Linked DNA regions of Oryctolagus cuniculus. The protein of the gene in region 1 purifies or fractionates together with the protein of each later gene. This does not show direct contact. Links are inferred from orthologs where the notes say so. Each region holds a gene or a part of one and is shown on either strand. Other genes may lie near its edges. The genes, in order: NOLC1, CSNK2A2, NOP58, NOP56, ARRB1, TCOF1 and ARRB2.

What was found.
Region 2: the proteins of NOLC1 (region 1) and CSNK2A2 purify together in Homo sapiens (affinity purification with mass spectrometry; 5 studies listed by BioGRID and IntAct, with this or other methods). This does not show direct contact. The link is inferred for Oryctolagus cuniculus from reciprocal best matches to the Homo sapiens genes NOLC1 and CSNK2A2.
Region 3: the proteins of NOLC1 (region 1) and NOP58 fractionate together in Homo sapiens (co-fractionation; 3 studies listed by BioGRID, with this or other methods). This does not show direct contact. The link is inferred for Oryctolagus cuniculus from reciprocal best matches to the Homo sapiens genes NOLC1 and NOP58.
Region 4: the proteins of NOLC1 (region 1) and NOP56 purify together in Homo sapiens (affinity purification with mass spectrometry; 6 studies listed by BioGRID and IntAct, with this or other methods). This does not show direct contact. The link is inferred for Oryctolagus cuniculus from reciprocal best matches to the Homo sapiens genes NOLC1 and NOP56.
Region 5: the proteins of NOLC1 (region 1) and ARRB1 purify together in Homo sapiens (affinity purification with mass spectrometry; 4 studies listed by BioGRID and IntAct, counting the BioPlex papers as one, with this or other methods). This does not show direct contact. The link is inferred for Oryctolagus cuniculus from reciprocal best matches to the Homo sapiens genes NOLC1 and ARRB1.
Region 6: the proteins of NOLC1 (region 1) and TCOF1 purify together in Homo sapiens (affinity purification with western blotting; 4 studies listed by BioGRID and IntAct, with this or other methods). This does not show direct contact. The link is inferred for Oryctolagus cuniculus from reciprocal best matches to the Homo sapiens genes NOLC1 and TCOF1.
Region 7: the proteins of NOLC1 (region 1) and ARRB2 purify together in Homo sapiens (affinity purification with mass spectrometry; 5 studies listed by BioGRID and IntAct, counting the BioPlex papers as one, with this or other methods). This does not show direct contact. The link is inferred for Oryctolagus cuniculus from reciprocal best matches to the Homo sapiens genes NOLC1 and ARRB2.

What each region holds. Positions count from the first base shown.
Region 1 is NC_091446.1:27,777,595-27,781,681, forward strand, and holds the start of NOLC1 (nucleolar and coiled-body phosphoprotein 1), read right to left. Parts: upstream 2,801-4,087; 5' UTR 2,582-2,800; coding exon 2,462-2,581; intron 1-2,461. UniProt on the Homo sapiens protein: Nucleolar protein that acts as a regulator of RNA polymerase I by connecting RNA polymerase I with enzymes responsible for ribosomal processing and modification.
Region 2 is NC_091449.1:41,524,230-41,527,729, reverse strand, and holds part of CSNK2A2 (casein kinase II subunit alpha'), read left to right. Parts: intron 1-259; coding exon 260-370; intron 371-1,014; coding exon 1,015-1,116; intron 1,117-2,103; coding exon 2,104-2,204; intron 2,205-2,966; coding exon 2,967-3,115; intron 3,116-3,500.
Region 3 is NC_091434.1:37,711,662-37,715,896, reverse strand, and holds the start of NOP58 (nucleolar protein 58), read left to right. Parts: upstream 1-1,435; 5' UTR 1,436-1,670; coding exon 1,671-1,715; intron 1,716-4,235. UniProt on the Homo sapiens protein: Required for the biogenesis of box C/D snoRNAs such as U3, U8 and U14 snoRNAs. Part of the small subunit (SSU) processome, first precursor of the small eukaryotic ribosomal subunit.
Region 4 is NC_091442.1:28,154,815-28,158,845, forward strand, and holds the start of NOP56 (nucleolar protein 56), read left to right. Parts: upstream 1-1,231; 5' UTR 1,232-1,337; coding exon 1,338-1,340; intron 1,341-1,503; coding exon 1,504-1,593; intron 1,594-1,876; coding exon 1,877-1,991; intron 1,992-2,722; exon of another isoform or gene 2,723-2,794; intron 2,795-2,886; coding exon 2,887-3,048; intron 3,049-3,139; coding exon 3,140-3,338; intron 3,339-3,402; exon of another isoform or gene 3,403-3,537; intron 3,538-3,666; coding exon 3,667-3,854; intron 3,855-3,934; coding exon 3,935-4,031. UniProt on the Homo sapiens protein: Involved in the early to middle stages of 60S ribosomal subunit biogenesis. Required for the biogenesis of box C/D snoRNAs such U3, U8 and U14 snoRNAs. Part of the small subunit (SSU) processome, first precursor of the small eukaryotic ribosomal subunit.
Region 5 is NC_091432.1:66,421,641-66,425,140, reverse strand, and holds part of ARRB1 (beta-arrestin-1), read left to right. Parts: intron 1-1,533; coding exon 1,534-1,578; intron 1,579-2,130; coding exon 2,131-2,327; intron 2,328-3,337; coding exon 3,338-3,397; intron 3,398-3,500. UniProt on the Homo sapiens protein: Functions in regulating agonist-mediated G-protein coupled receptor (GPCR) signaling by mediating both receptor desensitization and resensitization processes.
Region 6 is NC_091437.1:37,672,035-37,675,534, forward strand, and holds part of TCOF1 (treacle protein), read left to right. Parts: intron 1-627; coding exon 628-811; intron 812-1,962; coding exon 1,963-2,078; intron 2,079-3,437; coding exon 3,438-3,500.
Region 7 is NC_091448.1:51,501,635-51,504,464, forward strand, and holds part of ARRB2 (beta-arrestin-2), read right to left. Parts: intron 2,217-2,830; coding exon 2,156-2,216; intron 2,079-2,155; coding exon 2,034-2,078; intron 1,895-2,033; coding exon 1,698-1,894; intron 1,448-1,697; coding exon 1,388-1,447; intron 1,125-1,387; coding exon 1,057-1,124; intron 926-1,056; coding exon 790-925; intron 560-789; coding exon 475-559; intron 263-474; coding exon 190-262; intron 1-189. UniProt on the Homo sapiens protein: Functions in regulating agonist-mediated G-protein coupled receptor (GPCR) signaling by mediating both receptor desensitization and resensitization processes.

The DNA.
Region 1 (4,087 bases):
TAAGATTTATTTTATTTATTTGAAAGACAGAGTTACATAGAGAGGTAGAGCCACAGAGAGGTCTTCCATTCCGCTGGCTCATTTTCCAAATGACTGCAACAGCCAGAGCTGAGCTGATCCAAAGCCAGGAGCCAGAAACTTCTTTCGGGTCTCCCACACAGGTGCAGGGGCCCAAGGACTTTGGCCATCTTCTGCTTTCCCATGCCATAGCAGAGAGCTGGTTTGGAAGAGAAGTAGCCAGGACTAGCTCTGGCGCCCATATGGGATGCTGGAACCTCAGGTGCCAGCCCCCAGGCAACATTTTAAAAATCAGTCATTTTGGGGCCAGCACTGTGGAATAGTGGGTAAAACTGCTGCCTGCAGTGCCACCATCCCATAGGGTACAGGTTAAGTCTCAGCTGCTCCACTTCCAATCCAGCTCTCTGCTTTGGCCTGAGAAAGCAGAAGACGGCCCAAGTCCTTGGGCCCCCACACCTGCCTGGGAGACCCGGAAGATGCTCCTGGTTCCTAATCGGCACAGCTCTGGTCGTTGTGGTCAACTGGGGAGTGAACCAGCAGATGGAAGACCTCTCTCTCTGTGTAACTCTGACTTTCAAATAAATAAACAAATCACTAAAAAAAAATTTTATTTTACCCTGAAATAAGGGCACAAACACTAATACAAGTGGGAGTTTGCTTCAATGTGAATTATTAGAAACAAGCCTCCAAGAGAACACTGGTGGACACTGTATACTGCAAAGAATGGTACTCAACCATTAATTACTCTGATACAGATGAACTGATTAAGAAAAAAAAAAGAGTGACAGTACATAGAAGAGTACAGGCTCAGAGTCAGCTGAGTATAGGAATAAAGTGTGTGATCTTGGGCAAATTAACCCAAAATTTTTCTTTCTATAAAATGGAGATAATACTACACATCTCAGAGAGGATAACAGATAAGGTATATATGGGGCCGGCACTGTGGCGTAGCAGGTAAAGCCACCACCTGCAGTGCCGGTATCCCATATAGGTGCTGCTTCAAGTCCCGGCTGCTCTACTTCCGATCCAGCTCTCTGCTATGGCCTGGAAAAGCGATGGAAGATGGCCTCAGTCCCTGGGCTCCTGCACCCATGTGGGAGACCCGGAGGAAGCTCCTGGCTTCAGACTGATGCAGCTCAGGCCGTTGCAGCCATTTGAGGAATGAACCAGTAGATGGAAGACCTTTCTCTTTCTCTCTCTCTGCCTCTCTGTAACTGTACCATTCAAATTAATATATAAATCTTAAAAAAAAAGTGATAAGGCAATAAGAACTTAGCATTTAGCAACAGCATCCAGCCCTTCGTTAACTCTGCACAAAGATGAGCTTTTGTCATATAAAACCCAGGAATATTAACTGTCCATTGTGGAAACACTCCTGGCAGTCTCCTTATCAGTCAACTCAAAGCAGTTCCAGTAAGCAAGTAGTTAGATCCCTCGGAGGGCTGTTCCAGTCTTAATAAATTCTTCCTATCACTGATCTGATCGCCTCCTGTTGCAATCCACTCTGACTGCTACAAAGAACTAGTTATCTTCTTGGTTCTATCATCTGCCTAGGACTACCACTCCATCTCTTTCCGGGTGTTTTCTGATGCATGTGTCAGCTTTTCTTTGAGATGTAGATTTTATAAATCTTTCTCATTCCAGACCACCTTGCTCTTACAGGTGTTTGGAGCATACTAAATTGCCCTAAGTATGAATAACAACTTTTACTCATCCATGCACCAGACTGAGATTGCCACTTTGCATATTTTATCGTACTGATATTCATAAAGATCCCACGAGGTGAACAATAACTTCCTGCAGAAATAAGGACAGGGAGGTTAATTAAACTGCCCAGGTCACACACCTTGGAAGTGGCAAGGCCTGGTCCCAAACATAACTTAGTTTGAGTCCACTAGCCAAAGTTCCTGGCCTGCTCCTATGTCTCCTTGGTAGGGCTGTTTGCTATTCAATCCTATACTCAAATCATTACAACCAAAAACGGAATCCTACCTCTCTTTAGCAACGAAAATCCCAGGCTTTGTTCCTAAAGCAATTTCATTTATCTGTGAGGCCAGGGAAATTCGACCGAAACTATGGTCAAATCACACACTGCCTCAGCCAAGGAGCACCCCCTCCCAAAAGCGCCGCCAATGCTCTCAATGGGATACGGCGTTCGCTCCTCGCCGCACTCTGCGAGCCACGTGACCTCGACCACGCGGGTCCCACGCCGCTGCCTCTCCACCGCGAGGAAGCAACAAGACAGTGTTACCTACTCAGACCTCGCAAAAGGGACTCCGGGGCCATGGGCTTTCTCCAGCCACTGCCGACTGATCGGAACAAAGACCTCGCTAATGCTGGGCTGGTGGACCCCACACACCTGCTCGTCAGGAAACCTAAGCATGCCAGGGCCTGGACCCTGTGCCCATCCCGCCCCGGCCCGCGTCCGAAGCCCGAGACTCACAGCGCCTGTCGCTTTGGCGAACTTATTGGCCACCTCCGAGAGCTGGTTATCGCGCAGAAAGCCGAGCACGAGGGGATACAGGTCGCTGGGAACCACGCGGCGCAAGCCGGCGTCCGCCATCCTCCCGGCAGTACGCGTCACTACCGTTGGCGACGCACCTCGACCTAGGAACCCGAAAGGCGCAGGGGGCGGGCGCGTGACGTCACTTCGCCGCGCGGGCGCAGAGCGGAAGGGGTGGGACTCCACAGGGCAGTCCTGACCCCACCCCGCAAGCGGGGTCAAGGCGAAAACCCTATGCTCCTTCCGGTCCAACGCAAATCGCCATCTTGGTAAGGGTGGAGTCCACCGGCCGCCGCTTTTGTGAAGGCGGAGCTCTGACGTCAGGGTCACGCCCTCGGCGTGGCGGGAAAACTCGGGACTTCCCGCGCCTTGTCTTTGGGCGGGAGGCATCCTTTCCGAGTGTGGGTTTCCCGCGCCTCAGCTGGGACGTGGACCACATTAGTGACTGGACCCGTGGGCCCTCGGCTCTTTAGACAGGGTCACAGAGTTCCCAGCTGCCCCCGTTCCCGATGCCCGTGGTTCCATTCTTCATTTTCACCGCAGCCGACACATAGTGAGGGTCCTGGTAATACCACCCCAGCCTTTCAATTCCCCTCTCCACTGCAGAGCCTCCCTCAAGTTACCAGTTGTTTGGGGGAAGGGGCTGGACGTGTTTTGATTCCCAGAACTGCTCCTCCCTCAAGTCATGATTTTTTTTTTTTTTTTTAATGTGCTGACTGTGGGTTCATCATACATTGCTCTGATGGTTTTGAGGACTGTTCCTTTTTTTTTAATCTGAGGGGCCGGCGCCATGCAGTAGCGGGTAAAGCCAATGCCTGCACTGCCAGCATCCGATATGGGCACCGGTGCAAGTCCCAGCTGCTCCACTTCCAGTCCAGCTCCCTGCTAGTGTGCCTGGGAAAGCAGTAGAGGATGGCCCAAGTCCTTGGACTCCTGCATCCACGTGGGAGACCCAGAAGAAGCTCCTGGCTCCTGGGTTCAAATCGACCCAGCTCTGGCTGTTGTGGCCATTTGGGGAGTGAACCAGCAGATGTTCACTCTTCTCTGCCTCTCTGTAACTCTGCCTTTAAAATGAATCTTTTTAAAAAATTTTATTTGAGAGGCAGAGTTTGAGAGGGAGACGAGAGAGAAAGCTCTTCCATCCCCTGGTTCACTCCCCAAATGGCCACAATGGCCAGAGCTGGGCCATCCAAAGCCAGGAGCCAGGAGCTTATTCAGGTCTCCAATGTGGGTAGAGGCCCGAGCACTTGGGCCATCTTCCACTGCCTTCCCAGGTCATTAGCAGGGAGCTGGATCAGAAGAGGAGCAACTGGGACTCAAACCAGAGCTCATATGGGGCTTAACCTACTATGCCACGGCAACAGCCCTGACTTGGTTCTAAGACAACCTTCCTCCTTGCCTTATAGGCAGGTTATGTTTAGTTTAACTCCATGAAAGGGAAAAGGTTGGTACAACCTTAATCACACAGCATTAATCCCTTCAATCTACAGTCCTAAAAATAACCCTTTTTCCTTCTGGGTCAGAAGTCACCCACCCTGGGAACTCACCCACCAGGTTCTGGGCCAC
Region 2 (3,500 bases), on another chromosome or scaffold:
TGTTATCTGGAGAGAGTGGTGAGCCAGGGTAATTTAAATTAACAACAGCAAAAAAAAAAAAAAAAAAAAAAAAAACTCCAGGTGTTCTGCTCTAGAAGGGACCTTTTAGACAGCTGCTGAAACTAATTTTTTAACGAGTGCACCTGCTCACATTTTGTTTGTGGCCATATAATCATTGCCTGTGTGATGAAGCCTTGTTCTCTGGCACTGGCGCCTGGAAACCCTCCTCTCACGCGTTCTACTCCTGTCGTGTTTGCAGCTACGACTGATAGACTGGGGCCTGGCAGAGTTCTATCATCCTGCTCAGGAGTATAATGTTCGTGTAGCCTCGAGGTATTTCAAGGGACCAGAGCTCCTTGTGGACTATCAGGTAAACTTGTTAGTAGAGCTTCTTGGGGTTTTTTTTTTTTTTTTTTTTTTTTTTTTTTTTTTTTTTTTTTTTTTTTTTTTGACAGGCAGAGTGGACAGTGAGAGAGAGACAGAGAGAGAAAGGTCTTCCTTTGCCGTTGGTTCACCCTCCAATGGCCGCCGCTGCAGCCGGCGCACCGCGCTGATCCTGGCAGGAGCCAGGAGCCAGGTGCTTTTCCTGGTCTCCCATGGGGTGCAGGGCCCAAGCACCTGGGCCATCCTCCACTGCACTCCCTGGCCATAGCAGAGAGCTGGCCTGGAAGAGGGGCAACCGGGACAGAATCCGGCGCCCCAACCGGGACTAGAACCCGGTGTGCCGGCGCCGCAAGGTGGAGGATTAGCCTATTGAGCCACGGCGCCGGCTCTCTTGGGGTTATTTTGAAACTTCTTTGGGGCTTTCCCTCTTTGCTGTTTATTTAGTCAGTTTAGGTCCTTCCAGAACCCAGCCATTATTCTACCCCCCAAAAGCAACTTGCAGATTTTTTTCGGGTACTTTTTTTATATGAGGAGAGGCAAGCTTTCAGTTCTTAAATAACCTGTAAACGCAGATAAGAGATGCTTAGCAGAGAAGCGGGTTTCTGACACTGTTGATCGTTATTGCCTCAGATGTATGATTACAGCCTGGACATGTGGAGTTTGGGCTGCATGCTGGCAAGCATGATCTTCCGAAAGGAGCCTTTCTTCCACGGGCAGGACAACTATGACCAGGTGAGCGGACGCCATCCACTTCTGTCTACTGGGGCTGAATGCCAAGAAAAGGACGTCTGGACTGTTGCTGCAGTGTAGTGGTTTAAGCTGCTGCTGGCTATACCTGCTATATGTCCACGGGTTCACTCCCCAGATTGCTGCAACAGTCAGGGCTGAGTCAGGCCAAAACCAGGACCTTCATCTGGATCTCCCATGTGGATGGTAGGGGCCCGAGTGCTTAGGCCATCTTGCTTTCCCAGGCACATCGGCAGGAAGCTGGATCAGAAGTGGAGCGGCCAGGACATAAACCAACCCCTATATGGGGATGCTGGCCTTTGCAGCCCAACCCACTAGGCCACAGTGCTCTACTTCTGATCCTGCTCTCTGCTAATGTGCCTGGGAAAACACTGGAAGGTGGCCCAAGTACTCGGGCCCCTGTACCCACCTGGGAGACCAGAGTTCCAGGCTCCTGGCTCCTGCCTGGCCTTTGCAGCCATTTGGGAGTGAACCAGTGGAAGGAAGATCGATCGATTGCTCTTTCTCTGTCTCTCTTCCAAATAAATATATAAATAAATACATATTTAAAAAAAAATAATGTCCTTAGTGAGGAATGCTATTTTTGAGCCACTCACTAAATAGCAATGTCTGCATATAAACGTTTCTTCAAGGTAAAGAATGTCTCAGTCTTCTCTCTGGTTACAGAGACAGATGATGTCCTCTGTGCTACACTTGCCAAGTGATTTTATGAAGCAATTGGGGCCCCTCCTTGACTACTAACAGCAGATTCTAGATTGATACTCCCGTGATCATGAGCTTCCAGTAGGGTGATAGGCATTTATGTGGACGTCATGTTCTTGGATTTGTCAGCCCACATTAGACTCAAATCTGTATCTGGGCCCTGGAGGCCTGGTGGTGCGGAGTCTTCTGGCTCCGCTGGTCCTGTGTCCTCACAGACTTGCAGTCCGAGTGCTGTGCTCAGTGATTTGGTCAGCTTGTTTTATGTTTCAGCTTGTTCGGATTGCCAAGGTTCTGGGTACCGATGAGCTGTATGGGTATCTGAAGAAGTATCACATAGACCTAGATCCACACTTCAATGATATCCTGGGACAGTAAGTAAGGGGGGGGGGGGGGGTTGACCTCACCCCATTTTGGAAGCGGGAAGGTTAGCCAAAATCACTTTTCTTTCCCCTTCCTACTTGTACCAAAAGTGAAATGCTCTTTTTTTTCCCCATGTGTATTTTGAGATAACTTGGGCATGATATGTATCTTCTAATCATTTAATTTCTTCAGGATATAACTTGTGTTTGGATAGAAGATAGAAAATAAAATCATAGTGTTAGAGAAAACTTTCTGGTACAGCATGTGTTTATTTTAATGGCAATCTTAGAAAGCTGTGATTGTTCTTTGAATAAGAGATTATTAGATTTTCTGTGTTCTCTATAGCATATTTGAATTTCCAGGTGCAATGCCATCATGTTGAAAAGTTTGACAGTTTCCAATAAACAGTATATTTTTTGGAATTTTTGTGTTTCTGAGGTTAGTCTCTAAATATGTCTCCTGACCAGTAAATATAACTCAGAATAACCGCCTGGGGCATAAAAGATTACTGAGAAAGGTTACAAATTCTAAATAAAATTTTGAGATTTTGACTAGTTCTTTTGAATCCCAGGGCACTGTTTTGTGTCATGATGCTATAATATGACAGTGGGGGGCAGGGTGGGCACCCGTGAAAATGAGATGTAGCAGGATCGTAATGAGCCCAGGGTTCCATGATTTTGTTGACTTTGGCCCTAATAGGTGAGGGCTCTTGTACTCTCATTGGTATTCTGAGTCATGGTCTAAGAGTACCAATGCTTCCTTTTTCTTGTCAGACATTCCCGGAAACGCTGGGAGAACTTTATCCATAGTGAAAACAGACACCTTGTCAGCCCTGAGGCCCTAGATCTTCTGGACAAACTCCTGCGATACGACCATCAACAGAGACTGACCGCTAAAGAGGCCATGGAGCACCCGTACTTCTGTGAGTCACCAGGGACTGGGGTCCGGGGTTTATCTTTCACTCGAGGAAAAATCTTTCCCCCTTTATCTTTGAGACCGCTCAAAGGCATTCTGGCTCTTTGGATTAGATTGTTGCAGTTTGACCGCATTAGTCCTAGACAGCTGAGACAACTTTGCAAATTGGTTTCTTGATCCCCAGAAGTATTTGCTTGTTCACAAGCTGGAGCTCCCTTGGGTGCAGTCTATTTGACAGTTTCCTAGCCCCTCAATTAATAGACCCCAAAGATGTAAAAATTTGTTTTCAAACATATACATTAAGAAGCAAGTAATTAGAGGTGAGCGTTTGGCACGCACATCCTGTATGTATCAGGGTGCCAGGATTTGAGTTCCCTGCCTCACCTTCGTAT
Region 3 (4,235 bases), on another chromosome or scaffold:
CTTAGTGGAGGGGCTTTCTGGCCATGGAATTCATAAAATTCCTCCCAGGACTCCACCAGCACAGGGTTATTGGATCTCATAGCCCCCTTTGGAGCAGGCCAGAAAAGATTCCCCTAAGCTGCTCCAGGGAGAGGGCTGGGACCCCTATAAGGTTATGGAACAAGGACGAGACTTTTGATGCGCAAATGCTGGTTCACTTCCAAAGCTTACTTCCACATTTCTTCCCTCATTCAGCCACAGAAAAATTCAGCCCCTTGAACACACATAAGCTAATGTCTACCTGGATATCTAATCGCTTGATTTTCCCTCTCTTTATTTGTTGACTGTTATTCGGTCAAGGATTTCCTTTCCTCCTGATCCCAGGCTGTAGAGTTGCTGGAGAAAATCAAGTCGCTGGGTGTTCATAATTTTGAGCAGGCTGCAATGTAATATTTTGTTGTTGTTGTTGTGTTTTAATTTCTCAAATGTTTCATGTTTTTATTTAGCTTTCTGACTCCGTACTTGTGCCTTCAACACTTGCACTAAGATTTTCTGCTCCTCCTTAAGGAAGGCACGCTTGATCCTGTCGCAGACATATTTAACACACATGGAGCCACCAAAGACACTGCTGACATGGGTTTTCGTTTTAGACAACCTCATCGGAACTTTTAGGTCTCCCAGCTCGAACCCCTCGAAGTTTGGGCACACGCCATAGGCAGAGTTTGGTGCCTTCCCAATGCAATGTAGTTTTTTTTTTTTTTTTTTTTTTTTTTTTAAGATTTGCTCATCCATTTGAAAGGCAAAGTTACAGAGAGGCAGAGGCAGAGAGAGAGAGGTCTTCCATCTGCTGGCTCACTCCCCAAACGGCCACAATGGCCAGAGGTGTGCCGATCCGAAGCCAGGAGCCAGGAGCCAGGAGCCTCTTCTGGGTCTCCCACGCTGGTGCAGGGGCCCAAGCATTTGGGCCATCTTCCACTGCTTTCGCCAGTCCCAGCAGAGAGCCGGATCGGGTGTGGAGCAGCGTCCATATGGGATGCCGGCACTGCAGGCGGCAGCCCCTCAATGCAATGTAATATTAACAGAAAATCTGCACATAGGTCTTGGGAAGTCAGGAAGTATATTATACTAATTATATTGACAGGGAGACCTCGAGATCATTTTAAACAACCGCAGTAAACACGGGAGACGTTTGCATACATCAGAAAGAAATCTGCTAAAAATCAGTTTGCACGTGCAGAAGAGAACGGCCAGGAGTGCTCGTAAACACAGTGACAGTCCAGTTCTCATTCTGACGCCCTCACTTCCAGGCAATTTTTCTCTTTAGAACTGCGCACGGTCAGGCGGCGCAAAAACTCAGTTCCGCCCCTAAGACATCTCGCGATATTTTGAGGTCCCACCTCCCGCCCCCTATGGCGGGAACATTCCGGAAGTGGCCCCACTCTAGGCAGCAGTCAGCTGCCGGAAGTGACGTCAATCCCCCAGAATCCTTGGAGAAGGAGGAGCGGGTTCCTGCGTTCCACATGCAGCACAGCGTGGAATCTCAGCGTAACGCGGTGTGATTCTCCGGGAGACGTGCGCCTTTGTGCTTTGCCAGCCGCGGCTTGGAGCGCTTTTTGGGGGCCGCGCGTTGATTCTTGTGCATTGGTATAAAGCCCGTGGCGGGCCCTGCGGCCCCCTGACCCGGCTTCACCATGTTGGTGCTGTTTGAAACATCCGTCGGCTACGCCATCTTTAAGGTAGGTGGGAGATTGAGCCGTTGGCCAGGGAAGGCTGGTTTGGACTGAAGAAGAGAGGGTCAGACTTAAGGAGGGGATGAGACTGCCTAGGATCGCACGGGAGCTTTTTAGGGCCCCGGGCTCTGAAAGGGGAAAAGTCTGAGAAGGCCTGTGTTTCGGTGGTGAACACGTGGCCCCGCCGTTTGGGGCGACTCGTCCTGCGTTGAGGGGTTTGGCTGGGTTCAAGACGTGGACGGGAGCTGTGAAGAGTTTTGCAGGTTGTGAAAAGCCGTTAACATTCTATTCTGGGCGTTTTAAAGATGGATCGAAAGCTTTTAGGAATGACGATATAATGTGCCTTTTAGTAAGGTGGTTTTTCTGTGCGGATACTAGATTGTGGGGAGGTAAGAACCGAAGCAAGGATATTTTTTGCGTTAATTGAGGAAATGAAATCGCTTTGGATTAAGGTTGGGTATGGGGGGAAACAAATAAGAGAAATTCTGAGTAGAACTGACAAAATTGACCGATGGATTGAAGGTGGTCTTGGGGTTTAAGAACTAAGTTTGCATACATCAGAAAGAAATCTGTGCTAAAAATCAGTTTGCACGTGCAGAAGAGAACGGCCAGGAGTGTTCTTAACCACAGTGAATGCTGTGGGGAACCCTAAGATTTAGAATTTGGGCTGTGTGAAGCTTCCCTTGTCTGTTAGAATGCAGTTGTGTAGATCAGGTAATTCGGTGTTTCAGATTTGAAGCTTACGGGAAGATCTGGGTTGTGATAATTTGAGATTTGGTTGTTTGAGTAGGGAAAGTTTGGAATTAAAGAGTTCCTCAGACGGAAATGGGTGAAGAGCGGGCCCTGCCTGCGGTGGGTTGCTGTTGAGATGTTAGAGTATCTTAGGTTGAGGGCTTGCCATGTGCCGGGCGCTCTTCTGAGCTCAGCAAATACAGCACCGAGCCAAAAGCAAATTTATTATATACATATTATTATATATGTGTGTGTGTTGGTAGAAAGCCAAAATTGCCTTCCAGAATATGTATACTACGATTCTAGTTGTGACTCAAACTAGTCAAGTGTTTGTAGTTTGGATGCGGAAAGTGTACAGAGAGTTTCTCCTAAAGTTTCACTTGTGACTTTTTTTTACACTTGCATTTGATATTTCAAATATTTGTTGTTTTTAAGAAAATCAGACAAATAATGGTTTTAAAAAACGGCAGTTTTGCTTGGTTTCTTTCATTGGACTCTGTAATTGCAGTCCTGGCGAGAGCTCTGGAGCTTGTCTGTTGTGCTTTTCTCCAGTTTTGGGGGAATTTTATCGGAATTATGTAGGATTCTGCGGATGTCCCCAGTTCTCTGAGCCGGTGTGGTCTGTTATATTTTGAGTCTGTCTGTCAGTTAGGTCCATTGTAAACTTCCTCATTGTTTTCTTGCCATTTACTTCTCTGCAAGTTACCGTTGGAAATCAGGAAATTGTGGTTTATGCAGCAAAGTATATTGGATAAATAAGTTGGGCTTGAACACAACGAAATGTTGATTAATTTATAATTGTTTGGAATGGATGTTGATTTTGAATAAATATAAATAGAATTATACAGTAATGGACAATTTTGTGAAAAGGAATCCTACATTTTGAGAAGGGTAAATATTACAATATGGGAGTTCTCAGAAAAAGGTGTACATAATGTACAAGGTTATTAGCTTCCTTTTCACGTTCTTTCAAAATCCAGGTATCAGATTATATTGGTTGCATGAAATTCATGCTTTGATAATTCTGTAGTTTTTTCACTTCAATTAGGACCTAGTACGTACCTACACATTTATAGTGATTCAGAAAAATGAGACTCTAAGAAATTTCTTATTGCTCATTGACAAAATTGTATATATGGATGCAAAGACAGCATGTAAAAAAACTTAGTTACTTTCAGAATATTAAAAAACCCAACCTGTGTCTTGTGTCATATGGCACACAGTATAAGATTAGACAATCTTTAGTTTTGTTAATCTCAGACTTTTAGCTGTGCTGTCCACATGCAGTTATTGCATGCTTGAAATGGTGGTATGGCTGCAGAAGTCTAATTTTTAATTCTAACTCGTTTAAATCTTACCTTGTACTGTGTGGCTGTGTAGTTTGTGTAGCATTGTTTCTTTTTCTCAAGGCTTAGAAGAAGAGGATTTTGGTGTGTATGCCAAATGTTCAGATATAACCTGCTTACTGAGCAATGTTACATGCTATATAACCCACCTTGTGTTTTAGTAAACTTTGTACAATTATGTCACCTCTACAATCTAGTTTTTAAACACTTCATTCCAAAAAGTTCTCATGCCCATGTTCATGTCAGTCTCAGCTTTCTGTATAATTGTGTTTCTTCTAGAGATTTCACATATGTAGAGTAATATTTTAGTTTTTTGTGATGGGCTTTGTTTACTTGTCTTGATTCTTTTTGAAGATAACCAGTATTGCATATGTCAGTTTGTTCCTTTTTGGCAGTTCACATTTTAAACTATTTTATTGCTTCATCCTGTGCTCAGACGAGTTTCAGA
Region 4 (4,031 bases), on another chromosome or scaffold:
AATAAAAAAAAGCAGCCTCTGTTTCCGTAGCAGACCCGAGTCTTTGTAAAAGCATTCAGGCATTCCAGACATCAAAGCTGGAATGGACAGCTCAGAAGAAACTGCTAAATAAAGTAGCTCCCTGAACCCAAGCCAACCGGAGACCCCCGTTCAATTAAGAGCAACTCCGTGCTGTAAGCCCCCGCTGATGGAAGCCTGTGGGTGTTTCCTTTAACTCTCCCAAACGAAGACCGGGGCCTCCCTCCTAACTCGGCTGCGCAGGTGGGTTGGTTGGGGTCCCAGTCGCGGCTTGTATTCAATAAACCTTGCTTTTGCATTTCGGTGTGATCCACTCCCTGGGGGGGGGTCTCTGGTGATCTGCATTTCGGTGTGATAGACTCTCTAGGGGATCTAGTGATCGGGGCACAACAGAGATTATTATGATTAAGAGGTCCTGACCACATGGAACCCCAAAAGGGGGAATTTGTCAGACGGCTGAGGTCCACTAAAGCTGTGAACGCGCCTGCTAGTTGCGGCTCAACAGCCCAAGGTGGAAGGGCGTGCTCGTCCTCCCTCGGGGTGGCCAGGCCTGGCTTGTTAAGTTCATTACTTAGCGCGGCTGCAGCATGGGGAGTCGTCGCCCAGAGACCCCCAGAAGCGGCTCCCGGGCCTCAGGGCCGCGAGCAACACCCGGCCGGCCCCGGGCCAGCGAGACCGCTCCACGAGGACTCGGGGTCGGGTCGCTCCGTTCCTACACTACCGACCGACACTCATCCGGCCCTAGAACTAAGTTACATATAACTCGGCAATGCGGCTGCGAGGAGCCACGTTCGCGGCGCTGACGGCGCCAGGGCGTCCCGCGTCCCGGAGAGGAGACAGCGCGCAGCCCACAGAGCTCGGGGCGCTGTCCGAGAGTGGGCGCCGGGAGCGTGGGCGCGCGGGCGGGCCTGGAGGCCGAGGGCAGCCACGCGGCGTGGGACGGGCTCTGCGCCCACGGGGATCCTCCTGCCCCCGCTTCACAAATTACGAAAATACGGGCCATCGGACCATTATCCGAAAAAGCGCCCCTCCACGCAGGCCTGCGGCCTGCAGGGCCTTACCGATCCCGCGTGTCCCGGGCAACCGCGCCCGCCCGCGCAGCCGCAGAGACCGGAAAAGGCCGGTTCGTCCGCGCGCCGCTCCACCGCGACTCGCGCTCTGGGCGATACCACTCCCAGAGGACCCCCTGCGAAGGCTCTGAGATAGTGCCGTCCTCGGCCTCTGATTGGCCGACCCGACGGGGGGCGTGTCCTCTGGAGCCTGGTTCTGCGCGCCAGAGCCAGAGAGCCGCATTGCGAGCCGGGCAAGGAGCAGGCGCCATGGTGAGGAGTGGTTGCGGGTCGCGGGCTTGTGCGGAGGCCGTGGTCTGGGCCTGGATTCGAATCCGAATTCGAATGCCGGAGCCCGGGCCTCGGTGTGTCCTGGGAGTGTGGCCGGGAGAACGCAGGGGCTGAGCTGACGGCCGCACCCCGGCTGCCGTTCCAGGTGCTCCTGCACGTGCTGTTCGAGCACGCGGTCGGCTACGCGCTGCTGGCGCTGAAGGAAGTGGAGGAAATCAGCCTGCTGCTGCCGCAGGTGGGTGGTCTCTGTGGGCGCGGGGGGCTCGCCCGGCTGCGCTGCAGCCCCTCGGTCGCGCGCCCCCGGCATGCACCGCGCGCTCCCACGTGGCCGGCCGCGCGGGCTGGAGGGGCCGGCCCGGAAGACTGCGGGGCGGGGGTCCTCAGCCCGTCGCGTGGCCGGGGTCGCGGTAGGAGCCATTGGAAGTGAGCGTCCCAGAGCAGAGCCCGGCCCCGGTGCGTCTTCCTGGCGCCCGGGGGCTGACGTCGGCCGCCGGCCGCGCCATTCATTGTCTCGGCAGGTGGAGGAGAGCGTGCTGAACCTGGGCAAGTTTCACAACATCGTGCGCCTCGTGGCCTTCTCGCCCTTCTCCTCGTCCCAGGTCGCCTTGGAAAATGCCAACGCGGTGTCGGAAGGTGAGTCGGCGTCGCCGCCCGGGGTCAGCTGGCTTGTTGTGATTAAGGTGCATTTCACGCATGCAACCCACGATGTAGGCTTTGGTTTCTTTGAGCATTGTAGTTAGCGATCAGTGGTGTTTTTTCTGGTGGCTGGTTTAACCTGCACGTGTGCCCAAGTTTGCCTAGACACGATTAGTTGTCTTATTAATTTTCTGCTGTGTCTTTTAATCTGTCGGAAGGGGCACTTTTGATAATTACAAGGGTGTTGGTCCCAGAAGGCAAATTGGGATAGGAGATACTATTTGAGAGGTAGAGATATAGACAGGGAGAGACCGAAAGAAAGATCTTCCATCCGCTGGTTCACTCCAAATGGGGCCCAAGGACTTGGGCCATCTACAGGGAGCTGGATTGAAAGAAGAGCAGCCGGGACTCGAACCGGCGTCCATAGGGGATGCCGGCGCTGCAGGCGGAGGCTTAGCCCACTGCACAGCGCTGTACAGCAGGACCTCCCACGCCAGTCCAGACTTGGTTTAATGAGATTTCAGTTGGTGACTTTTGTAGTTACTATACGGTTTCTTCGTTAGCTAATGTCTTAAATTGCCTTATTCATAAATTGGGCTTTATCCCAGGTATGTCTGGGAAACACACATATCTGGGGTCTGGGATCCACTGGGTGTCCCCTGCAGTTGAGGTGTGTGTCCCACTTGGGCTGTTGGCCTGTGTCCTGTTTCTCGTGGTTCAGCCAGGCTTTGCAATGATGACTCAAAATAATCTGTCAATCCCCTGAGTCCTGTCACTGATGTCTCCATGTCTCTGAGCAATGCCTGCAGGGAGGGCTGGGCCACACACGCCCGGGGAGGCGGGATCCCTCGGCCCTCAGCCACTTAGTGGGCGCCCTGCTCTTCGTCCTGAGGTGTCGTGCACGAGGACCTCCGCCTGCTGCTGGAGACTCACCTGCCGTCCAAGAAGAAGAAAGTGCTCTTAGGGGTTGGGGACCCCAAGATTGGTGCCGCCATACAAGAGGAGCTGGGCTACAGCTGCCAGACTGGAGGCGTGATAGCCGAGATCCTGCGCGGTGAGGCTTGGCTAGAGCCACGAGGTCGCTCCTGGGAGGGGCCCGGGGTGCCGGAGCTGGCTCGCTCACGCTCCCGTGTCGGCTGCCCCAGGAGTCCGTCTGCATTTCCATAATCTGGTGAAGGGGCTGACCGATGTGTCTGCGTGTAAAGCCCAGCTGGGCCTGGGCCACAGCTACTCTCGGGCCAAAGTGAAGTTTAACGTGAACCGGGTGGACAACATGATCATCCAGTCCATCAGCCTCCTGGACCAGCTGGACAAAGACATCAACACTTTCTCCATGCGCGTCAGGTAACAGCCAGAGGCCGCCCCTCACCGCGAGCCTCTGCAACGCCGGTCGGGCGAGTGTGGGCTGGGCCTCCTGGTGCTTACCACAGGCTGTGTTCTTACACTGACTGTATAGAAGGAGGAGGCAGAGCAGGCCCTCCCCATGTACACCTCAGCTCTGGCCTCATCGTGCCTGGGCTGTATTGTGAGTGGGGGGACAAGGCGTTGAGGGGACCGGCATTGGGCTTGTCCCTGTTTGCTCCAGGCCGAGTTGGGTGGCGAGGGCTGAGGCGGGTGCGTTTGTGGCCTTGCGGCAGCTGAGCCAGAACCAGGTGGGACTGTGTCTCTGCAGGGAGTGGTACGGCTATCACTTTCCGGAGCTGGTGAAGATCATCAATGACAACGCCACGTACTGCCGCCTCGCCCAGTTCATCGGCAACCGAAAGGAGCTGAACGAGGACAAGCTGGAAAAGCTGGAGGAGCTAACGATGGATGGCGCCAAGGCCAAGGCCATTCTGGATGCCTCCCGGTCCTCCATGGGTCAGCACAGAGCCTCACAGCTGGTACGGGGGGAGGGCTCCGAGCAGCTGGCACCTGCACTCACACTGGGGTGTTTCTAGGCATGGACATCTCTGCCATCGACTTGATCAACATCGAGAGCTTCTCCAGCCGTGTGGTGTCATTGTCTGAGTACCGCCAGAGCCTACACACTTACCT
Region 5 (3,500 bases), on another chromosome or scaffold:
ATGAGAGACCTGAATGGAAGTTCTAGGATCCCAGCTTTGGCCTGGCCCAGTGCTGGTTGTTTTGGGCATTTGGGGAGTGAACCAGCAGATGGAAGACCTCTCTTTCTCTGTTACTCTGCCTTTGAAGTAAATAAATAAATCTTAAAAACAAAACAGAGGGAAGGTGTGTGGGCAGTGCCCTGTCACTTGGAGCTGCCAGGGTGGCACTCACTTCCAGCCAGAGCCTCTGAGATCACGAGTGGCCCTGTGGCAGCCCGGGGTGGGCGTGGGGATCAGAGAGGAGACAGACATGGGTGAGGCGGGAGGTTGCCCCTGTGCCAGTGTCTCTGGGCTCCTGGGGAGCTGGCGCCAGGTCGGCTGGAGCCTGTGCTCTGAAGGGCCAGCTTGCTCGCTCACTGGCCACAGGGCTCACGCCTGCCAAACTCTGTCCGGGTGGCTCACACGTGTGACATTTTGCACAGTGTCCCCAGTCAGTCTTCCCAGGAGCCCTGGGAGTGAGCCATGCAGATCACAGCCCCTGACCCACAAACCCCAAATGCAAGAAGCTCGAAAGTCCCGCAGCTGTCCCTCGGCATGATGCACAGTTCGTTTATCTGTGGAACTTGACCGGAACTGATGGGAGGCTGGGCCCTAGCTGGCCTGGGAGGGGTAGGGGTGAACGCAGTGGCGCGTCTGCCTTCTGATGTGTCATTGGGTGACGTCACTGCGTGCACATGCAGAAGCTGAGGCAGCTGTGTCCTGGGTGGCATTGCCTGACAGGGCCGCCCTGTTGTGCAGCCACTGCTGAGTGAATGCTGGGGCCAGGAACAGACGGCCTTGGGTTTCCTTGCGGAGGGGGGAGTGGCTTGCCCTGTGAGCACAGTGTGGGACCTATGGAACATGCGCTAGTCAGAACTGCCCCGCTCCGAAGTGTGGTCCTGGGGTCTCCCAGCCTGTGTCACTGTCCTCTCTTTATTGAAGATTTATTTATTTGAAATGCAGAATGACAGAGAGAGAGAGAGAGAGTGATAGAGATCTTCCATCCACTGGTTCACTCCCCAGAGGACTACCGCAGCCAGGGCTGGGCCAGGCCAGAACCGGGAGCCAGGAACTCCATCCAGATTTGCACTAGGGTGGCAGGGAGCCAAGCACTTGAGCCATCCTCTGCTGCCTCTCAGTGTACACGTAGCTGGCAGCTGGACCAGAAGTAGAGACGGGACTCAATTCCAGGCACTCGGATAAGGGATGCGGCATCACAAGCTGTGACTTAACCCCCTGCGCCACAGCGCCCCACTCCCTCCGCCTCATGTCATTACTCTTCCTTAGAGATGAGGAGAGGTCCCTAATCTTCCCGGAGCCACCCAGTCAGCTGGGTCTATCCCGCTGACCTGGGGGAGAGGAGGGGAGGGCTTGGTGGGGCTGGGGCTGGGGTGCCGCCCCCGGGGTTGGCCTTCCCATTTCTCTCATGGTGCGTTTGGGTGGATGGAGGATTGAGTGTAGGGTGGCATTTGGGGCTCAGGGGTTGGGAAGGTCACTCTCTCTGTGCTCTCGCAGATGGTGTGGTCCTGGTGGATCCCGAATACCTGAAAGAGAGGAGAGGTAGGCTGCAGCCCCACCCCCACCTGCCACGGGGCCCCTCTCCCACGCCTCCTCTGTCCAGGGACCTCCTGGCCTCCCAGGGGGCCTCCGGCTCATCCCACTGCCACTCCCTGCCCATCCCTAGTGGGGCCTCCTGCCCCAGCCCTTTCACACCAGTGAGGGCTGGGGATGCCGACAGAGCAGGAGTTAGGACAGGGCCCCAGGGAGGGGAAGGGATTCTGCAGGGTCAGCGGGAGGAAGGGACGAGATGCCTGGCAGACACCTCCCAGCATTAGCTCGCCCTCCCCTGCTGTCCCCTGCCCACCAGCCCCAGCCCTCACTGCCCATCAGACCACTCCCTGTGCCCCCACCCCAACCAGGCAAGAGTGGGACAGAGATAGCCACCGGCAACACACCCACAGGCACACAGCCCATGGGCTGCCCTTCCAGGCCCCCAGTCCTGGCCTCTCCAAAGGGAGATGGGTGACCGCCGGGCTGCAGCGGGAGCTCTGGGTGGGGGAGGCTCCCTGCTGCTCTCCAGGCCCCTCCTCAGTGGCCCCTGCTCCCCCACAGTCTATGTGACACTCACCTGCGCCTTCCGCTATGGCCGGGAGGACCTGGACGTCCTGGGCCTGACCTTTCGCAAGGACCTGTTTGTGGCCAACGTGCAGTCCTTCCCGCCGGCCCCTGAGGACAAGAAGCCCCTGACGCGGCTGCAGGAGCGGCTCATCAAGAAGCTGGGCGAGCACGCCTACCCATTTACCTTTGAGGTCAGGGACTGCCACCCTCGGGCCCCTTCTGGAAGGGCGGAAGGGGGCAGCTGCTCCGTGTCACCCACTTGTCCCACGTATGCTGGGCCCTGGGGCACTTACGTGACCTGGTACCTGTCTCTTCTCTGGTCACTGCTAGAGCGTCCTCCTTACTTGTGGGATCCCCGCTGAGTAGGAGGGAGGGGAACCCAGGGGCCGCAGAGAGAAGGAGCACTGTGCTGTGTGGCCCCAGATCGCTGGGCCCGCCTGCCTCCCAGCTCCAATGCCCTGCCCTGCCCCCTGCCGATTCCAAGACCCAGATTCTGGGTTCCAGAACGCCGAGCTCCTAGGCTGATTCCATGCTGTGGGCATTAGAGCCAGGCGGGCTGCGGGCGTCTCTCTGTGCGGATGTGAGTTTCCTGCACTGCCCCGCAGGCCCCGGGCGATTACCCACAGCGATTAAGGCAGCTGACGTGGGTGATCTCACAGCTCTGGCAGCTGCAAGTCTGATATGGGTCTTGCCGGGCCTGGATCTGGGTGCTGGTGTGGCCGTGTTCCTGGATTACCGCCTCCCCCCACCTGGATTACTGCCTCCCCCACCTGGATTACTGCCTCTCCCACCTGGATTACCACCTCCCCCCCTCCCACCTGGATTACCGCCTCCCCCACAATCCCAGGTCCTTGACTCAGTCGCAGCTGCAGAGTCGTGTTGCTGTGGAAGGTGACCTAGCCACAGGCTGGGGGCAGCAGGGGGCAGGCAGCCTTGGGGGCCGTCACTCTGCAGCAGACGCCAAGGAAGCCTCCTTCCCTGCTATGACCGCGACGACAGGGCTGCGGGAGGCATGGCATGGCACGGTCTGATGGGGAGGCCCAGCTTGTCCTCGGGAGCCTCTAGTCTGATGGGGGAGACGTGTCTTGTCCTCGGGGCCCTCATCTGATGGGACAGGCACAGGCTCTCAAGGGCCTGGTGTGATGATGTGTGGGAGTGGCAGGAGTGCGGGTGACAGTGGCTCGTTCTGTCTCCTGAACAGATTCCTCCAAACCTGCCATGCTCTGTGACACTGCAGCCCGGGCCCGAGGACACGGGCAAGGTAGGTCACCCCAGGGGAATCTCTCTGGTCCAGGGCCCTCTTGTCCCCAGGTCCTGGCCTTCTCCCTGGTTGGTGCTGGACCCATAGGACCACCTGCCTTGTT
Region 6 (3,500 bases), on another chromosome or scaffold:
CTGAAAGGGACCCACCCAGACAGCACCCCACTTCCCCGATGGTCTCGTGATGGGGTGCTCAGTAAGAGTCCCAACACTGGGTGCTACGTCGGGGGACAGTTGGTCCCCTCGTTCATCAGCTTTGGATGCTGCCCCACTCTCCAGCCCAGTCCCCTGGGCAGCTTATTTGCTGGGAAGTGAGGTGGGTGTCCCTGGGGAGCCGCGTCCTGGGAATGCTGCCTAGTGTTCCCAGGATGGGGCAGCTGGGCTGTGGAGGCCTCCCCGGTAGACTGTGCGCCACACCTGGGAGCCGTGGAGAACGCTGCTCGGCCCGCCTCGGGGGTAGCTGTCTCTGAAGACGGTCAGAGGCAAACAGGCTAAATAGGCTCTTGTGCCCAGTGGCCTTGCTCTGTGGCTTCGGGCAGCCGTCCTTGTTCCTGCAGACTTGGGCTTTCCCACTGTACCACACTGACCCTGGGAGTTCAGTGTGAGGGCAGATGGGCTGCTGTGGGCTGGGAGGTGCTGGGCTGGGGGTACCCCCCAGCTCTTTGGACCCCTTGCCTTGTGAAACCCTTCTCCACCCCACCTCCCTTTCCTCTGACCAAGCCTTTAATCACTAGGGGGTGTGTTTTGTTTTTGTTTTTCAAGGTGATTAAACCCCCTCTGATTTTTGTCGACCCTAATCGTAGTCCAGCTGGCCCGGCTGCTGCCCCCGCACAGGCCCAGGCTGCGGGCGCCCAGAGGAAGACCCGGGCCTCGGAAAGCTCAGCCCAGAGCTCCTCAGACACCGAGGATGAGGACGTGATCCCCGCCACGCAGTCCTTGGCTCCTGGTGAGCACAGCCCCGCGTGGAGCTGACTCCCGTGCTGGACTTCCCAGGCTCGGCTGGGAGGGCCCGGCAGCACCACCCCCATCGAGGGACAGGACGAGGGCCTCTTGCACAGCCAGGTGTTGGTCAGCAGGGCTTGGGGCTCGGCCTTCAGGTTCTGCATCAGGCATCTGGATGCGAGGCTGGCTCACCTGTGGCCCTGGAGCAGTAATTGCCAGGACTTCCCTGGGCCACCCCAGGCATGGGACCCAGACCACTGGCTGGAAGCTGCCCGGACCAGGCTCCTCTGGAGCTAGGGTGCTGTATCAGTGGGCTGTCAGGAGGGTATTGAGGCACTTGTCTCATTAGGTGATCCCTAAACAGGAACTCTTCGGGGAGGGACTGCGTCAGCAGAGACAGGACCAGCTCTGGGGTTTGACTTCTGAGATTCTTTGCTTCTACCAGTGATAGCAAGAAAATGGTCGATGTCACCATTGTTGATGTTACACTTTTACGAGGAAGTAATATCTGATAACTGGCGAGATAGTTGAGACATACAGGTTAGCACAAAAGAAGACAACACCCCCTGTAATCCCACTGCCCCCATCACTGTTGAGGGTTTAGTTGCTAACCTTACAAAACCCTAGGGTGGACATGTTTGTCTTTAAAGTGAGGCCCCGGGATTCTGAGTGGCTATCTCGGGATGCTGTGGGATTTTGGTCCTCCTATCCTTCCCGCGTGGTTCCTCCTGGCCAGTGCCCTGTCAGAGGACGCGAGGGTTTGGTGGGGACTGTTGTATCCGCTGCTGCAGTGAGCAGCACGCAACCACAGACACTTTGGGCGATTTTCGTGAGATGTTGCAGCCACAAGGACGGCCCTGGCCGCCGCCTGCCAGCCTCTTGCTCAGGAGCAGCAGCCTGGCCTGCGGAGAGGCGAGCGGAGGAAAAGAAACTCACTGCCATAGCAGCTCTTCGGGCCCCCTCAGCCCAGCTGTGACACAGGGACAGCGCCCGCCTGGCAGGCTCGAGGAGGGGCTATGCCAGCTTCCTCCTGTAGAAGCCCTGAGCGTGGCACAGGGCCCCAGGAAGGGCTGAGTGCTGGACTGGGGTATTGCCAGTGCTGGGGAGGCCGTGGGGCTCCTGGGCACTTACTTGCCCCATCCCTCTCTTTTTCAGCCTACAGAACCAGCGTGGTGCCCACTGGCCACCCAAGGACAGGCCTTGGGGCCAGCGGCAGCGAGGAGAGCAGTCGGGTGTCAGAAGGCAAGAAGCAGGAGACACCAGCCCCGCAGGTACCTGCACAGGCCTGTGGGGCAAGGGGCTACAATTGGCTGTCACTTGCACACTTGTGCACCCCGGCGGTGGCAGTAGCCAAGGCCTTCCTGGTCTTGTGGCCACAGCCCGCAGGTTTCAGAGCCACCTTAAGCTGTCAGGAAGAGCAGTCTGGGGACACAGCTCTGCTGGCCAGTTGCATTTTTGTTTTCTTTGCATGAACATGATAAATGCTCTACTTAAGCATGTGTTATGGTGACTTTATCAGTCTCCCTGACAGTCACCATTTCAGTGCGTGTTTGGTCCTTGCCTGAATCTCAAGACTGCGCAGGGCAGGATTGGTGGCCCACTATCTCAATGTTGAAACTAGCGTGCACTCCCCAGGGGCCTCCAGTTTGACCGGGCCTGGGCTCGGCAGACCTAGCTCTTGGCCCTCAGCATCTTTGGCCATACTAGTCTGCTGCCCATCGCCTGGAGAGATGCCCACTGCAGACTCCATGCCTCTTTCTGAGGCACTGGTACCTGGGCATGCCCCCCTCTCACTGGCTCTTCACGAGCCACAGTCCAGGGAGAGTTTCTGGGAGCATGGGTGCTGGGTGGGTAGCCAGGCTGGGGTCACAGCCCCCAAAACCCTGTATCCCTCCATGCCAGGCCTTGGGGCTGAGGCCAGAGCAGGACGGGGAGGACAGCAGCCATTAAACAAAAAGTTCTCACCAAATTGGAGGTGCTGCAGAGGGCACCAAGCGCAAGCTCAGGATGATGGGGTGACCTGCTATAGGAAGTTGGGCAGGGAATGCTCGCCCGGGAGGTGGCCTTGAAGCAGGGGACGTGGCCGCGTACAGGGTGTGCTGGGGTGCCATGCAGGCAGGAAGGCCATGGTGCCATGACCCCAGGCCTGGGAAAGCATCTAAGAGAAGGTAGGGAGAAAGTAGCAAAGGCAGAGGGGCTGTGCGACAGCTGAGGGGCCCTGCGTGGGAACCTTGAGGCCCTCTGCAAGGACTCTCCCAGCTTTGAGTTCTCTCCAAGTGCTGGTGGGTGGAAGAAGTAGGAGTGGTACCAGGGAGACCACGAGGCATGAGATGGGTCTCCGAGGAGGGCAGAGACTGAGTGTGGAGCTTCCTGTAGGGCCCGGGCCCCTTCCCTGCTTTGGCCTAGGAAGCTCGCTCTGTGCTTTGAGAACACGGACCAGCTCATAACCTGAGGCCTGGCACTCCTTTCTCTGCCTAGAGAGTGATATTGCTCTTATGACTGTCCCTCAGCCCCCCAACTCAAGTCCCATGGTCCCCTCCCACCGCAGCCAGACCTAGTCTGATCCAGGCACGGCCTAGGTGACACCCCAAGAACCCATGAATTTCAGGGCTGCTATTTGCTATCCACAGGTGGCAAAGAGGAACCCAGCATCCCTCCCGCTGACCCAGGCTGCCCTGAAGGTCCTCGCGCAG
Region 7 (2,830 bases), on another chromosome or scaffold:
TCACAGGGGAGGAGGTCTGGGCTCCACCTGCTCATGGGCAGGAAGAGCGTGGAGCCAGCTGGCTGCGGAGGAACCCCCTTCTCGGTGGAGACAGTTCAGGAGGGACTGCACCCCCCCACACACCTGACACTCGCCCAGGCCTCGCCTTCTCCCCCTGACACTAGGACCCGGGGCTGTTCTCATACTCACTCCTGCTCGAGCTGGGCCACGGGACACTTGTACTGGGCAGTGCTGAAGAGGCAGATGTCGGCGTACTGTCTCACTGTGGGACGGGCGAGGTCAGGCAGTGCCACAGCCCCGGGCCCCGCCCCTACTGCTGCCACGCCTCCCAGGCCAGTCTGGGGCAGCATGGACTCTGTGCACCCCAGTGGGTCTCTCAGGCTGGGAGATGGCCTGGGCCGAAACTGCAGCAGCAGCCACGGAGTCAGTGACACGCGCCTCCCCCAAGAGCCCCTGGCAGCCCCCACCTCCTACCAGAGACTTTGATCTTCTTGACGGTCTTGGTGGAGTTGTTGGTGACATGGACATTGACATTGAGGGGCTCCCCGTGGTAGTACAGCTTTGGAAGGGAGAGTGCCCTGTGAGCCCCGCCTGGGCCTTCACTGCCCCGTTCTCAGCGTGCTCCCAACAGAGGCACACTGCTGTCCTCCCCCAAAGCCAAGCCCACAGAGCTTCTCCCCCCACCACTGCGGCCGCTTCTGAAAGCACCTCTACACCTGTGGCTGGCTCCCCCCTCCCGCCAGGGTCTGGCCTGCTCTGTGGCACCTGCGCCGCCCCCTCGCACCCCACCTCCTTGTCCAGGGAAGCCTCAAGGTGCAGGGACCGGTCAGACATGAGGAAGTGGCGTGTGGTTTCAGCCGAGGGCTGGGGGCCGGGCTTCTCTGGGGCAAACTGCACTTTGCGGATTACCAGTCGCACAGAGTTCCTGGGGGGCGGGGAGGAGCAAGTCCTCAGATCCCTGAAGTCTGCACCCACCCCCTAGAGGGGCTGGGGCAGGGGGGGCTGCAGGGAGCAGCGAGGGAGTGGTTCAGCCATGGAGGAGGCTGCTTCCCTCACCTTTTGTGGCTTTTCTCTTCTAGAGATTTGGCACAGAAGGCTCGAATCTCGAAGTCTACCCCGCAGGCCTGGGGGGTGGGCAGAAAAGGCAGCCTCTTACACAAGGCCCCCGCCCCCCCCCCACTTCTCTCCCTGTCCCCCCTCTTGGGCTGGGGTGCTCCTGCCCCTCGTGGTCCGAGGAGCACACAGGGTCTCCCTGCTGTGCCTCCCCCGGCACCTGGCAGAGGCTTGGTCATGGCAGTGCACGGGCAGGTCAAGAGAGCAGGGGGCAGTGACCCCACGGTGTCCCCATTCCCACAGGGGACAGTTCCCTAGCAAGCCACTCCTGTACCTTCCCCGTGTCCTCTGGTCCCGGCTGCAGCGTGACGGAGCAGGGCAGGTTCTGGGGTATCTGCAGCAGGGGAAAAGGGGAGGCTTCAGCCCCCCTAGAAAAGACCCCAAACCTTCCTCCCAATCTCAACATCAAAGGCTGGAGGAAGGGAAGGGCCCCAGAGAGGAGGCCAGGTGCAGGGCTTCCTGGATACGGGATGACTGACGGAGGTGGACCTGTCCGTGACAGGCACCTCCCTGCCCCTGCCCCTGCCCCACCTGCACACACTTCCCAGGTCCCTTGCCCTGCAGAGGGGGTGGGGCATCCTCACTGTGAAAAAAAAGGGGTGGGCATGCTGGCCCAGCTTCCTCAGCAGCCGCTCCTGCAGGCGGGTGGGGGGCCGGGGCGGGCTGGGCGTTGGCGGGAAGGCCTGGTAGGTGGCGATGAACAGGTCTTTGCGGAAGGACAGGCCTAGCACATCCAGGTCTTCGCGGCCATAGCGGAAGGCGCAGGTGAGGGTCACAAACACTGCAAGGGAGGGTGGGGGGTGCGGTGAGGAGCACCCCGTCCCAGGAGACTGGCCCGGAGCCCGCTCCCAGCTTCCGCCTCAGCCCTCCATCTCTCTGGGGTACCCTCCGATGCCAGCCCATGCCACGTGGGCCAGTACCTTTGCGGTCCTTCAAGTAGTCAGGGTCCACGAGCACCACGCCATCTGGGGAGGGACACAGGGATCACTGTCTGACTCACTCTCGGGGAGCGAGCAGCCCCTTCCTCGCTGGGGACACTTACCGACGGGGTCCACTTTGTCCAGGTGGTCGACAAAGTCCCGCTTGCCCAAGTACACGGTGAGCTGAGGATGTCAAGGGGTCACAGGGAAGAGTGGAGAGCATGGTGACAGGGCGTCCACCCCTCCCCCAACCCCGGGGCGCCTGCCCCGGGCTCTCCAGCCTGGGCTTTCTCTAGTTTTCCTCCCAGCGCTGTTGAAGGGTGAGGGCGCTGGGGGTTCCCTGCTGCCCAACCAACTTTTGGGCTATTTTGCTGCTCCCTAACCTCTCATCACACCTGTCTACCAGCCAGGTGTGTGTGTAGGTGTGTGTGTGCGCGCGCCTCCGCAGGGAGGACCAGCTGGTTAGATTTCAGCTGCCAGCCTCCAGGGTGCCCCAAGGAGCTCTGGGATAAACAGACCATCGCCTGGGGGTGGGGTAGCTGTTAACTTTTCCCAGCCCCAGGCCCTCTGGGTTGGCTCCTGGGACAGCTACAGGTACAGGGCTGGCTTCTGGGCTCCTCCCCTTTGGCCTTGCTTAGGGACCCAGGCTTGGCCCCAGCAGCCTTGTGGCCAGGGACTCCAGGAGGGAAGGAAGTCAGCTCGGGGCTGTCACAGGAAGTGGGGAGCTAGGGCCGGGGATGGTCTAGGGGCAGACCGGGCCCAGGGAGGGTCAAAAGGTTGGATCAGCAGCGCGGGAG